3 linked regions of the Cricetulus griseus genome follow. The main gene of each other region encodes a partner of the protein of the gene in region 3 in a complex. Links are inferred from orthologs where the notes say so. Each region holds a gene or a part of one and is shown on either strand. Other genes may lie near its edges. The genes, in order: Nup54, Nup93 and Nup58.

Region 1 (3,652 bases), about 58 Mb from region 3:
AGTATCTGGTCTCAACAGTCTGGCCTTTTTTCGAACTGTGCCACCAGTTTGGGTTATGATAGCATCTGTAGAGCTGCTTACTCAGCCATGTCCTCTGCTCTCCCTCCAGAGGGGCCCATGGTGCTCCAGACCTTGACAGCCCACAAGCTATTGCTCATTTAGTCTGCATTTCAGCCATTATCCAGTCTGGTCCTCTTCGACATCCTCAGGCTTTGGACAGCTTATTTGTTTTACCTCTTGGTTCTTTCCTGTCTTGGCTGCATATACTCTCACCCATATGTAGGATAATACATAAATTGGTTCCTTAGTTAGAATATGGATAGCTGGGAAGAGATTTGCTTACCATACCTTGAATCTAAGTTTTCTGGGCTTGTTTTTTTTGTTGTTTGCTTTGTTTTCCTTTTTAAGCTCTAGGCGGTCTCTTCAGTCAGCCTACACAGGCTCCTGCCCAGTCCAACCAGCTGATCAATACTGCCAGTGCCCTTTCTGCTCCAACGTTATTGGGAGATGAGAGAGATGCCATTTTGGCAAAGTGGAACCAGCTTCAGGCTTTCTGGGGAACAGGAAAAGGCTATTTCAACAATAATATTCCTCCCGTGGAGTTTACACAGGAAAACCCCTTTTGCCGATTTAAGGTATCAATTGTCTTTGATCTTCATTTAAAGAGTGACTATAAAAGAGATAGTAACTTTTAGATTAAAATGACATTTAAAAGTGTTTTCTTGAGAACAATATGATTATACTTTTTATTTTAAACAAAAATTATAAAATTAAAGTGATTTTGAAAAAGTATTATATATGGTTCAGAGTGGCCACATAGTCACCAGAATAGGACTGAGAAAAAGGGTGTTGACAGAACAATGGCAAGCTAGCTGTGGTGGTGCACGCCTGAATCCCAGCTCAAGCATGGACATAGAGGGACCAGAAGTCAGTCACCCTCCGCTACAGAGCAAGTTGGAAGCCTATCTCAAAACAAACAAACAAACAAACAAACAAAAACCCAGGGCCAGCAAGGTGACTCAGTGGATGAAGGTGCTTGCCACCGAGCCTAATGATCTGAGTTTGACTCTGCCCAAAGCACATGGTAGAAGACTGACTCCTGAAAGTTGTCTTCTGACCTTTCTGTGTGTGCCATGGCATACCCCTTTAAATAAATAAATAAAAACAAAAACAAAAGAAGGCATGGTCTGCTTGCCACTTTTAAAGGGTACTAGACTTAGGTTGTTTTCATTTAACTAGTCAAGGAAGTGCCTCCTGGCCAGTGCACAGAATTCTCCTTGGCATGTAGAACCCTGTTACTATTATTAGAGTTCGATGCTAAAGACAATAAAAGAACATTGGCCACTTTCTTTGTTCTGCCTCATTGTCTATAAACAACCATCTCATTGAAACTTGACTTCAGGTAGTCTGCTCTTTAGACAGTGGTAGTGTTTTACTTTACCATTTATTTTTCTTTGTTTTTGCTTTTTGTATATGTGTGGTCTCTCTCTCTTTTTTTTTTTTTTTTCATCAAAGAAAAGCTCACAGAAGAGAGGTACTTGCTGTAATGCAGTAATAGTCCAGGCTGACCTTGAACTCATTATGTAGCCATGGTTGGCCTCAAACTTATGATCCTCTTGGCTCAGCCTCTTGAGTGTTGGGATGGTAGGGCTGCATGACCACATCCAGCTGGCAATGTGTTTCCTACATAACAAATTACATATTACAATTAAGTTTATACTTCACCCTGCATTTTTGGGGGAGGGCTGTGGTGCTTGGGAATCAAATCCAGAGCTTCATGTATGCTAGTCACATGCTTTGCACTGCACTTAACTCCAGCACTATGGGGTCATTAAATATCTAATGACATACCTTGGGGAACTCTTCTAAATAGGAAATTAATTAATGTAGCTTCAGCTTGTACATGCAGCCTAACTGTAATTTTATACGGTATTTTTTAGTGTGTTTGTGTACTATGACCCGTCATACAAGGTCGGGTGTAGAATTCTTATACTTGGGCCATCATACTGACAGCATAAAGTTTCAGTATTTGGAGCACTTTGCTTTAGTAATAGCTTTGTACACTAGGGTTATTAATTTCTATATCATCTGAGTGTATTAGTTGAAATTTTTAATGTTATTGTTTAGCAATAAGATATACAATAGGTTGAAGCATCAGTTTAAATGTTTTAACTTTTCTTAAAAGTTGCTATGTAATATACATATAAAATGAATGAACTTAAAATAATTTTATTAAAGTTGCATATAATGGTAACAAAGGACAAATGTTACTATATAAAGCTATTTTTAGCAATGTGTGATTCCTCATTGATGGGGGAGGTCCTGTGTATATTATTGTCTTATTGGTTGATAAATAAAGTACTGTTGGCCAATAAGAAAACAAGATAGGTGGGACTAGGAGTCAAGGAAGAAAGGTAGGAGAAAGCGCAGAGTCACCATGTGAGTCTGGGGAAGATAGGACGCTTGCTACTGGCGTCCGATAAGATAAGTCTTATAAAATATATAGATTTATGGTAATTAAGACTGAGCTAGCAGATGAGAAATCCTAGTCATTGGCCAAGCAACATTTGTACTTAATATAAGTCTCTGTGTGTTACTTGGGACCTTAACGTGGTGGCGGGCAGAACTCGGGCGGCCTGGCGGAAAGCGCCCATGTGGCAGCAGGGCTTGGTGAAAAGACTTATTGTTAACCTCATATTTAATACTATATAGTATAACTTATTCATTTAATATTACACCAATAACCTGTTTCATAGTTTTATTACATATACTCATAAGATAGACATTCTCCATGTCATTAGTATCTTGACAGTGTCATTGTACTTTAAACTTATTTTATTTGTAAATTGTTTCTTTAAAATTTAATTCAAGATTCACGAGTCAGATGAGTTGTTCCAGTGTATAAGAAATGTCCAAAAATGAATGACTATTAAGATCTTCAAGAGAAAATTCTTTAGTTCCTATGTTGGAGAGAAAATTTGAATTTCACTGTTTATGTTAGAGAAATGAAGTTTGTTTACAATATGTGATGTCCCACAGAATGGTTACCATTTCCATCATTTTAGCAGATGCTAAGCTATCTATTAAACATTTGATATAAAGTCTGCATGTATTTTTGATACTTTTGTTTATTTCACAGGCTGTAGGTTATAGTTGTATGCCCAATAATAAAGATGAAGATGGACTGGTGGTCTTAGTTTTCAACAAAAAAGAAGCAGACATTAGAAGCCAGCAACAACAGTTGGTAGAATCATTACATAAGGTTTTGGGAGGAAACCAGACCCTTACTGTCAATGTGGAGGGCATTAAGACACTGCCAGATGATCAGTAAGTATACATGCATACATACATGCATGCATGAATACAGGTTCTGTTGTGGGGTTTGTTGCTGAAACATAAATCTCCAGTTGGTGATTATTAATGTATTTACAGAAATGGTGAAAAGCTTTTTTTCTTTTTTGGATTTCTTAGACGCTAGCATGTAGATTTCATTCAGGAGCCGCAGGGCACATTATGGCTGTGCACAGATTGAATGAAACTTTACTGGACCATTTAGATAACTGGCTCCTTTTGCCTGTTTTGGGTTTTGTTGTTCTTTTTTTGGTGAGTTTGAGAGAGTCTTGCTGTGTAGTGCTGGTTATCCAGAAATGCA
Region 2 (3,652 bases), on a different chromosome or scaffold from region 3:
ATTTCTCTCCTCTCTGATACAAACAACTTAGATTTTACAACAGTACTCCTGCTTGTGAATCATGTAGTGAAGCTTAGAGGAAGTAGAGAAACTAGGTCTTTTTGGTTTGGTTTTTTAAGTCAAGGTCTCTCTCTAGTTGTCCTGGAACTCATTTTGGTAGACCAGACTAGTCTTGAACTCACAGAGATCCACTACCTCTGCCTTTCTGTTGCTGTAACTAAAAGTATTAGAGGCATATACCACCTTGCCTGGATCCAGGTCATATTCCATGTAGTTTAGTTAACTCTGTTCAAGGTGGCTTCAGCTATTTTAGGCTCATGTTGTTGCTTTCTCCCCACCCAACAAAGCCAGTGGATACCCAGGGTCAGATCGCTGGTGGCAGCTTCCTTCTGAGTTGTTTCATCTCGTCTCCTCCAGGCGAGTCCCACTTCACAGTGAACCAGCAGCCCTTCCTCTACTTCCAAGTGCTGTTCCTGACTGCGCAGTTTGAGGCTGCCATTGCCTTTCTCTTCCGCATGGAGCGACTGCGCTGCCATGCTGTCCACGTGGCCCTGGTGCTGTTTGAACTGAAGCTGCTTTTAAAGTCCTCAGGGCAGAGTGCTCAGCTCCGTGAGTATTCAGGCCTTGGCTAGCGGTGGTGTGACACAGCACACCTTCCCATTGGTCACAGTGGCTGTGGAATGACAGCCACCAGGGATTCTGGAGCATTGTGGCTACTTGAACTTTTATATTAGTGTTAGAGTACTTGTTTATAACCCCTTGGCGTTCCCTGGGGTGTGAAAGGGAATGCCAGGCACTAGCTTTGTGGACAGACAAAGCCATTCCAAGAGTCATGAATGTCGTGCCCACTAGGGATTTGGCTTTAAAGACTTTGGAAGCCCCAGCTAGCCACCTCTCTACCCTCCTACCCGGGTGGGAGAGGTGGGTGAAGAGCCAAGCATATGTGAGTGAGTGGGTCAGTATATGAGCCATGATGGTCAGGTACATAGTTATTTCCTGTAAAGGCCAGCGTGCTGGTCATTCACTTATGAGACATTTTCCTCTACTGTCTGTATGCAGGACGGTAGTGAGGCCACAATGGGAATTGAGGAGTGAATGGGTTACAGAAATACGTACTTCTAGGCCTGTACATTCCATTTCAGTGGGTTCTGGGTTGCAGGGGTCAGAGGAGCTATGAGAATGTGAGCCCTTCTGTTCCCATGTGCAGTCAGCCATGAGCCTGGTGACCCACCCTGCATGCGACGGCTGAACTTTGTTCGTCTGCTCATGCTCTACACCCGCAAGTTTGAGTCCACGGATCCAAGGGAAGCACTCCAGTACTTTTACTTCCTCAGGTAAAACCTGTTTTTGCCTTTTTACTTGGCTACCTTTTATTTGTCCATTCTGAGAATGCCTCTTCTTTGATTCCATGCCACAAACCACCCAAGCTGTTCCTGTGCATTTGTAGGGACGAGAAAGACAGTCAAGGAGAAAACATGTTTCTGCGCTGTGTGAGCGAGCTTGTGATAGAAAGTCGAGAGGTAGGTCAGCTTTCTTCTCGCTCTATCAGGAGTCTGCAGTATGTTCTTATGTGACACCCTGTGTGAGCACATTGTACATGGCCTAGGGTGGAGCTTTCTTTGATTTCCAACATTGAAAATATTGATCTCAGCCCCACTGTTTCCTAGTTTGTGTAAGACTTCTCCTTTGCCCCTTTTCTTCCCACCTTTTTCCCTAAGGAATTGTGTGTTACATTTATTTCCTTGACCAGTAAACTAAATAAACCTTTTCCTCCACAGTTTGATATGATCCTTGGGAAACTAGAGAATGACGGAAGTAGAAAGGTGAGTTAAATGTATCCCTAACTGTAAAAGAATATAGTTACATTGTAGGATTCACATCTGGATACTGTAACTTTAACAAAAGAAAGAGGAAATTATAGGACCAACTGATGGCCTTGGTTTTACACACATTTTTGTTTTCTTTAAAATTTATAAATTATGATTAGATAGCCTTTTCATTTATTCAAAGCATGCCTGACATTTTTCAAAAGCTAAGATGTTTGAATTTTTGCCATTGTTAACTTAGAAAACATGAAGAAAAGTTGATTGCTGTGCCTACTCTCCAGATGTAAAAGTTAGAAATATATTTCACTCCTCTCAAAAGGCAGTCCCTGAGTACTCAGAACTCCCTGCCAACCCTGGAAATGCTGTCTTCCCAGGAGCCTAAGCGGTTCCTCTGGAACTTGGCATGCCAGGGGTCACCATAACAAAAGGGCAGAAACCCATTGTCGGAGCCCAGTACTGACCATGGCTTTCCCTGTGTGCCCCACAGGTACTCACTTTTCTTTGTAAAACTGCATAGCTGGCCTAGCAGCCGAGATGAGGGGTCTGATGGTACTGATGGTGGTAGCCCATCTTCTTGGGCATTGTGCCAGGTTATAACAATCACCAACAAAATGAGAACCATTAACTTGTGTTTCCCAAGTGATTTGTTTTCTTCAAGACCACACAACTGGAATCTGAGCATGTGAGCATGTATATTCTGTTGATCCAGGGGCAGATCATCCCAACTTGGTCCAGCCCTGATGGAGCATTAGCATGGATAAGCACAAGTGTTATAGTCCATACCCCTCCCCTGTGGGTCCTGGGGTCTCAGACTCTCCTGATCACATGCCTGCTGTTGAATAGTGATAGAAACTTTTTCCAAAGTACTTACCACCACTTCCTGTGTACTTGTTCAGCATCTGTCTTAGAAAGCAGATTGACACTCTTCAAAATATTTTCTCATAACTTCCTGATTGCCAGCAAATTTAGGATCACTAATAATTTTGCCTACTCTCAGTCATTTTAGAAACCACAAATGTCCTGTAGCCAACTCCACAGTGCTTCCATTAAATATGCTCTATCTTTCTTGCCATGGTTTTGGTGTGAGGTTTATGTCTTCAAAAGAGCCCAAGTCTGGCAAATGAAAACGTGTTGCACAGGGCAAGCATTTCCAATTCAAGTGCTACTGTGTCACAGCTGCTGTGGGTATTGAGTCTCTCTTCCCCTTCGTAATTTGTCTTGTCAGCCTGGAGTCATTGATAAGTTTACCAATGACACAAAGCCAATTATCAACAAAGTTGCTTCCGTGGCAGAAAATAAAGGACTGTTTGAAGAAGCAGCCAAGCTTTATGATCTTGCCAAGGTAAGTGTGCCCTTTTGATGCCTCTTTTCTTCTCTGTCCTTGGTAGATCTGCAGGCCTTTTAGCATAAATGCTCAAGCTTTTCAACATTGTCTTTGTTTATCACTGTCCCTGCTGGAGCACTTTCTCTAGCATGTTAATGGTTAAGTCAGGGTGAAATTCCCATTTTACAGAGTTCTTACTGCTCAAGAGGTGCCTCTGACTAAAGAAGAGCAACGTAATGGATGGCTCTCTTATAGGCATTGTCAAAGCCACCATGGTTTCCCATGGTAGCCTTCTACAGTAGCCAACAGTGCATAGTCCAAGAGCCTGGGTTAAATGCATCTATCTAAGAATATGTAATGACTGCTGATGATTAAGTAACCTAAAAAGAAAGTTTTCCTGGGACTGGAGAGATGGCTCACTGGTCAAAAGCAGTTGCTCTTCTTAAGAATCCAGGTTGGTTCCCAGAATCCCCATGGTGCTCACAACATCCTTAACCCCATG
Region 3 (3,652 bases):
CCTCCCCTTTGTCCCTTCATTCAACAAAATAGCTTTGGGCACTATTCCAATGGCACCCAATAACTGATTCTAGACAATATAGTTTGTATCCCAGACAATATTTCTGCCTTTAAAAGCAAATGAATCCTGAGCCAGGTGAATTTACAAATGTCTTTATACATCCTGCCATAAAGTCTCTTGACAACAAATAAGATAAAAAACATCTGTGTATTTCACCACTCTGATCCTCTTTATTCTGAACAGAGGCCATATTTCAAGATGGCCAAACTGCTTTAATGGCCAATGCTATCTTTTTCCCAAATAAAGTCTTGTTACATAGCCAAGCCTTGCCTTGAACTCAAGATCTTCCTGAGGCATCCTCCCAAATCATAGGTGTGAACTACTAAGCCAATAGTTCAAAAAGACAAAATTGCCAACTAATTCAAATAAAAAAATTCCCAAAGTATAGTTGAGTTTTAGAGTTTTTTATTCTTGTACAACAAATCCTTATAATAACAATAGCAAATGCTTTACCCACTGCACCATCTCCCAGCCTGGTATTCTATTTAATATAAATGGCCACTGATGTTCTCTAACTGGATAAAATTTCAATGTAAGCATCACATTCAATTTTCTTCCCATTCTGTCTCACCTGCTGGCGTGGATGTCAGAGCAGACGACAGAGTGAGACCACTAGCTGAGGTAGACGTGCCAGGCAGGGCAAATGGTGTAGCAGAGGCTGCAGGTTTACTGAATCCTAAACTGAAGCCTGTTGTAGATGCAGATGTAGTAGCTGGTGTTCCTGTTTAAAAAAAAAAAAAAATCATTTTATCTTAATCATACAGATATTATGCTGGTTTTAATTAGTATCCTTATGTCTATAATCCTTTATCATAAATGGGATAAAAGGATTTGTAGAAGTGAAAGAAAATACTTAAGTTGGGACTAAATCATGGTAAAAATATAAAAAAGATGATCCTTTGGGTTAAGAAAAAGAAATGCAAGATGGGTGTGGTGGCACTCGCCTTTGATCCCAGCCCTCCGGAGGCATAGGTAGGCAGATCTCTGTGAGTTCTAGACCAGCCTGGTCTATATAGTGATTTCCAGGACAGCCTGAGAGACATAGTGAGACTCTATATAAAAACAAAAACAAAAACAAACAAACAAAAAAAAAACCCAAAGAAAAAGAATACAAACACAATGGCAATTGCAATTCCATCCCCAGACTTACCTGTAATAGCACTTATTCCCCAAAACTCTCTTTGCTCTCAACAGAAAAGTAGTCCCTCCTGTCACAAACTACCCAAGTATCATTTGGTACTCCTGAAAATCCTCTTCTTCCCGGACCCCCGTTTCTGTCAGCACCAAGCTCTCTTCTCACTCCTCCTTTCCTGCCTGTAGATCTCTTCCTCCGTTCAGGCCAGTTCTGTTGCTGCTTCCTCCACTGGTCTCTCCATTTTTATCATTTCAACCACAGGTATATGAATCTAACCCTAACTACCACCAGCTTCTTTGTTTCAAAAAATATTGCTGGATTACTGGCACCCTCAAAAACTTCAGTTTAGGCCACCTCTAAAGCAACCTCTTAATCTGTCAGTCTCTGCAATCTCTCATCTACTCTCAGTATTAGCTCAGTTACTTTAGCAGCATCTTGGTATTGGCATAAACTTTTCTTTAGGAGACATGAACTAGTGTTTATTCACCCCAGATAAAAAAAAGTCAAAAGGAATCACTGGTCAACAATGAGTTTAGTTGTGGAGACCAAAAGAAGTCTGAGTGAGGGCTTGGGCAACTACACCACTGAAAAAAGTTTCTCTCTCCACAGCAATTACAAACTGCTTGTATACTTTCAGGGAAGGGTAGCACTTGAGGACCTGAGGCCTGCCTTTGTGAGCAGCCCAGTGCATGCGAGTCTTCCCTCCCCAAGAGGGAATGTTAGTGGGTCCAATCCTGTGAGCCCCAGGTAGGTGACCACAGTTAACCTCATTTTACAACAGCAAGAGCTGAGAGGACAGTACTTCAATAATTCTGTCCACCTTAAGGATCCTATGAACGCTTAAGTATGTTAAACAGTCTAAAGGCCTGGCAAAATACTGCTCATTCTTATATGGTCTCAACCAGTTTTTTAAATATCAATTCTTCCTCCTATTTCCACTCTGAATCATAAGCTCCAAGAACAGTATTTTATATTCCCTTAGATCCTTTTATGATTACAACTTTATATTTTCAACTGCTTCATGTAAAATATTTCCCAACTCCAGATAAGCCTACTCTCCTGTCTTCCACACTGTCATTCCTGCATTAGCACAGTATCAGACACAAGAACATGTTCATACACTTGCCTGTCCCTCCATGTCAGAGCTCATGAATACCTTGCCCCTGTACTTAACGGTTTTGACATAATCATATTCTTAGTACCATGTCACCACTGCAAATTCAAGTTAATGCTGAATGTCCAAGGCATGATGTATAAGCAGACTACACAGTTCAGAAGCACTAACTACTCAAATAATATTAAATGAAGAAATGCAACCCTTATTTGGGCTTCTCCTGGAGTTACTGCAAAAGTCGGAAACCATGCTTCTGGATTGCCCTGAGGACAACTGGGAGTTCATCACCAAGCACAGTGTTTTAAAATTATGTGTGGGTGAGTTGTAAGAGAACAAGAAAGGTCTATGTTCACCCTCATAAGCAATCTTGTCAAATTGTTAGTTAACAAAGTAAGCAGCATCTTAGTAGTCTGCCAATGATGACCTTAACCCCACACAAAAGGCTTTTAACACTCACATACCTCTCTTGAGACAGTCTTGCTAGCTATCCCCAGGCTGGCCCACTGAGTAGCCCAGACTGGTCCTCAACCTTTGATCTTCCTGAGTGTTGAGGACTACAGACATGCTCCACCACACTGGGCTTTACCATCCCTTCATTCCTTCTATTTTATGGCCACCCATTATTTACTGCTGTTCAGACTGAAGAAAGGCTGACACTCTAGTTGTTTGTATTCCCTTAATCTTACCACTAAGAAACTATTGTGTCCTCAAGGTAGAAGAGAATCCAAAACTTTCATTAGAGTGTATGTGTATATGTATACATACATACATACATACACACACACACACACACACACACACACACACACACACACTTACTTACTTTTATTTGGCAGCAGCAAGGATTAAACCTCAAACACACAGGAGGACAAGTGCTCTTCCACTGAGCTATGCCCCCAGCCCCATAATTCTGTAATGTTATAGATAACTAAAAGCTTTGCTTCAAGGTATGATAGGACAGTTAACATCTCACAACCTTTCAGAGATACAACCAGGGCTAATTCTAAGACTGTCACATAGTTTGGTGCTTTCTCATATAAAGTCAAACACCTGGAAATGTAATATGACATAAACTTCCACATCAAAAGTCATCTATGTTTAAAATAAATCTGTAACTTACAAAGGCATGATACAGAAACATTCAGTTTTTTATATACCCAAATACTGAAAGGTTATTGAAAAACAATTATGTGGGATCCAGACAAAATTCTTTGTAATTAATTTTCTTCCTCCCTACTCTGAAATATTAGATGAGAGGAGAAAAGCTACTCAATTCATTAGAAAACCAGAGTTTGATCTCTTCTCAAAAATTCTTACCCAGAATTCTATGGTTGTAGTTATTC

Evidence for each region.
Region 1: the proteins of Nup58 (region 3) and Nup54 are in contact, whole or in part, in a crystal structure (PDB 4JO7), measured with the Homo sapiens proteins. The link is inferred for Cricetulus griseus from reciprocal best matches to the Homo sapiens genes NUP58 and NUP54. Residues at the interface, in NP_054808.1 of Homo sapiens: Pro342, Tyr345, Phe346, Leu349, Val350, Phe353, Gln356, Leu357, Tyr360, Gln363, Ile364, Leu367, Leu371, Gln374, Ser378, Ile392, Tyr393, Phe396, Leu399, Ala400, Leu403, Ile406, His407, Val410, Lys414, Tyr417, Tyr420, Arg421; in NP_059122.2 of Homo sapiens: Tyr453, Leu459, Glu462, His466, Leu467, Gln469, Gln470, Gln471, Gly473, Leu474, His476, Leu477, Ile478, Ile480, Ile481, Asp484, Leu485, Ile488, Lys489, Leu490, Val491.
Region 2: Nup58 (region 3) and Nup93 share a complex: the UniProt entries of both Homo sapiens proteins name them as parts of the p62 complex. The link is inferred for Cricetulus griseus from reciprocal best matches to the Homo sapiens genes NUP58 and NUP93.

The regions. Positions count from the first base shown.
Region 1 is NW_023276807.1:157,229,776-157,233,427, reverse strand, and holds part of Nup54 (nucleoporin p54), read left to right. Parts: intron 1-408; coding exon 409-635; intron 636-3,139; coding exon 3,140-3,327; intron 3,328-3,652. UniProt on the Homo sapiens protein: Component of the nuclear pore complex, a complex required for the trafficking across the nuclear membrane.
Region 2 is NC_048596.1:170,541,409-170,545,060, forward strand, and holds part of Nup93 (nuclear pore complex protein Nup93), read left to right. Parts: intron 1-417; coding exon 418-609; intron 610-1,207; coding exon 1,208-1,334; intron 1,335-1,447; coding exon 1,448-1,520; intron 1,521-1,778; coding exon 1,779-1,823; intron 1,824-3,051; coding exon 3,052-3,168; intron 3,169-3,652. UniProt on the Homo sapiens protein: Plays a role in the nuclear pore complex (NPC) assembly and/or maintenance. May anchor nucleoporins, but not NUP153 and TPR, to the NPC. During renal development, regulates podocyte migration and proliferation through SMAD4 signaling.
Region 3 is NW_023276807.1:215,232,999-215,236,650, forward strand, and holds part of Nup58 (nucleoporin p58/p45), read right to left. Parts: intron 782-3,652; coding exon 632-781; intron 1-631. UniProt on the Homo sapiens protein: Component of the nuclear pore complex, a complex required for the trafficking across the nuclear membrane.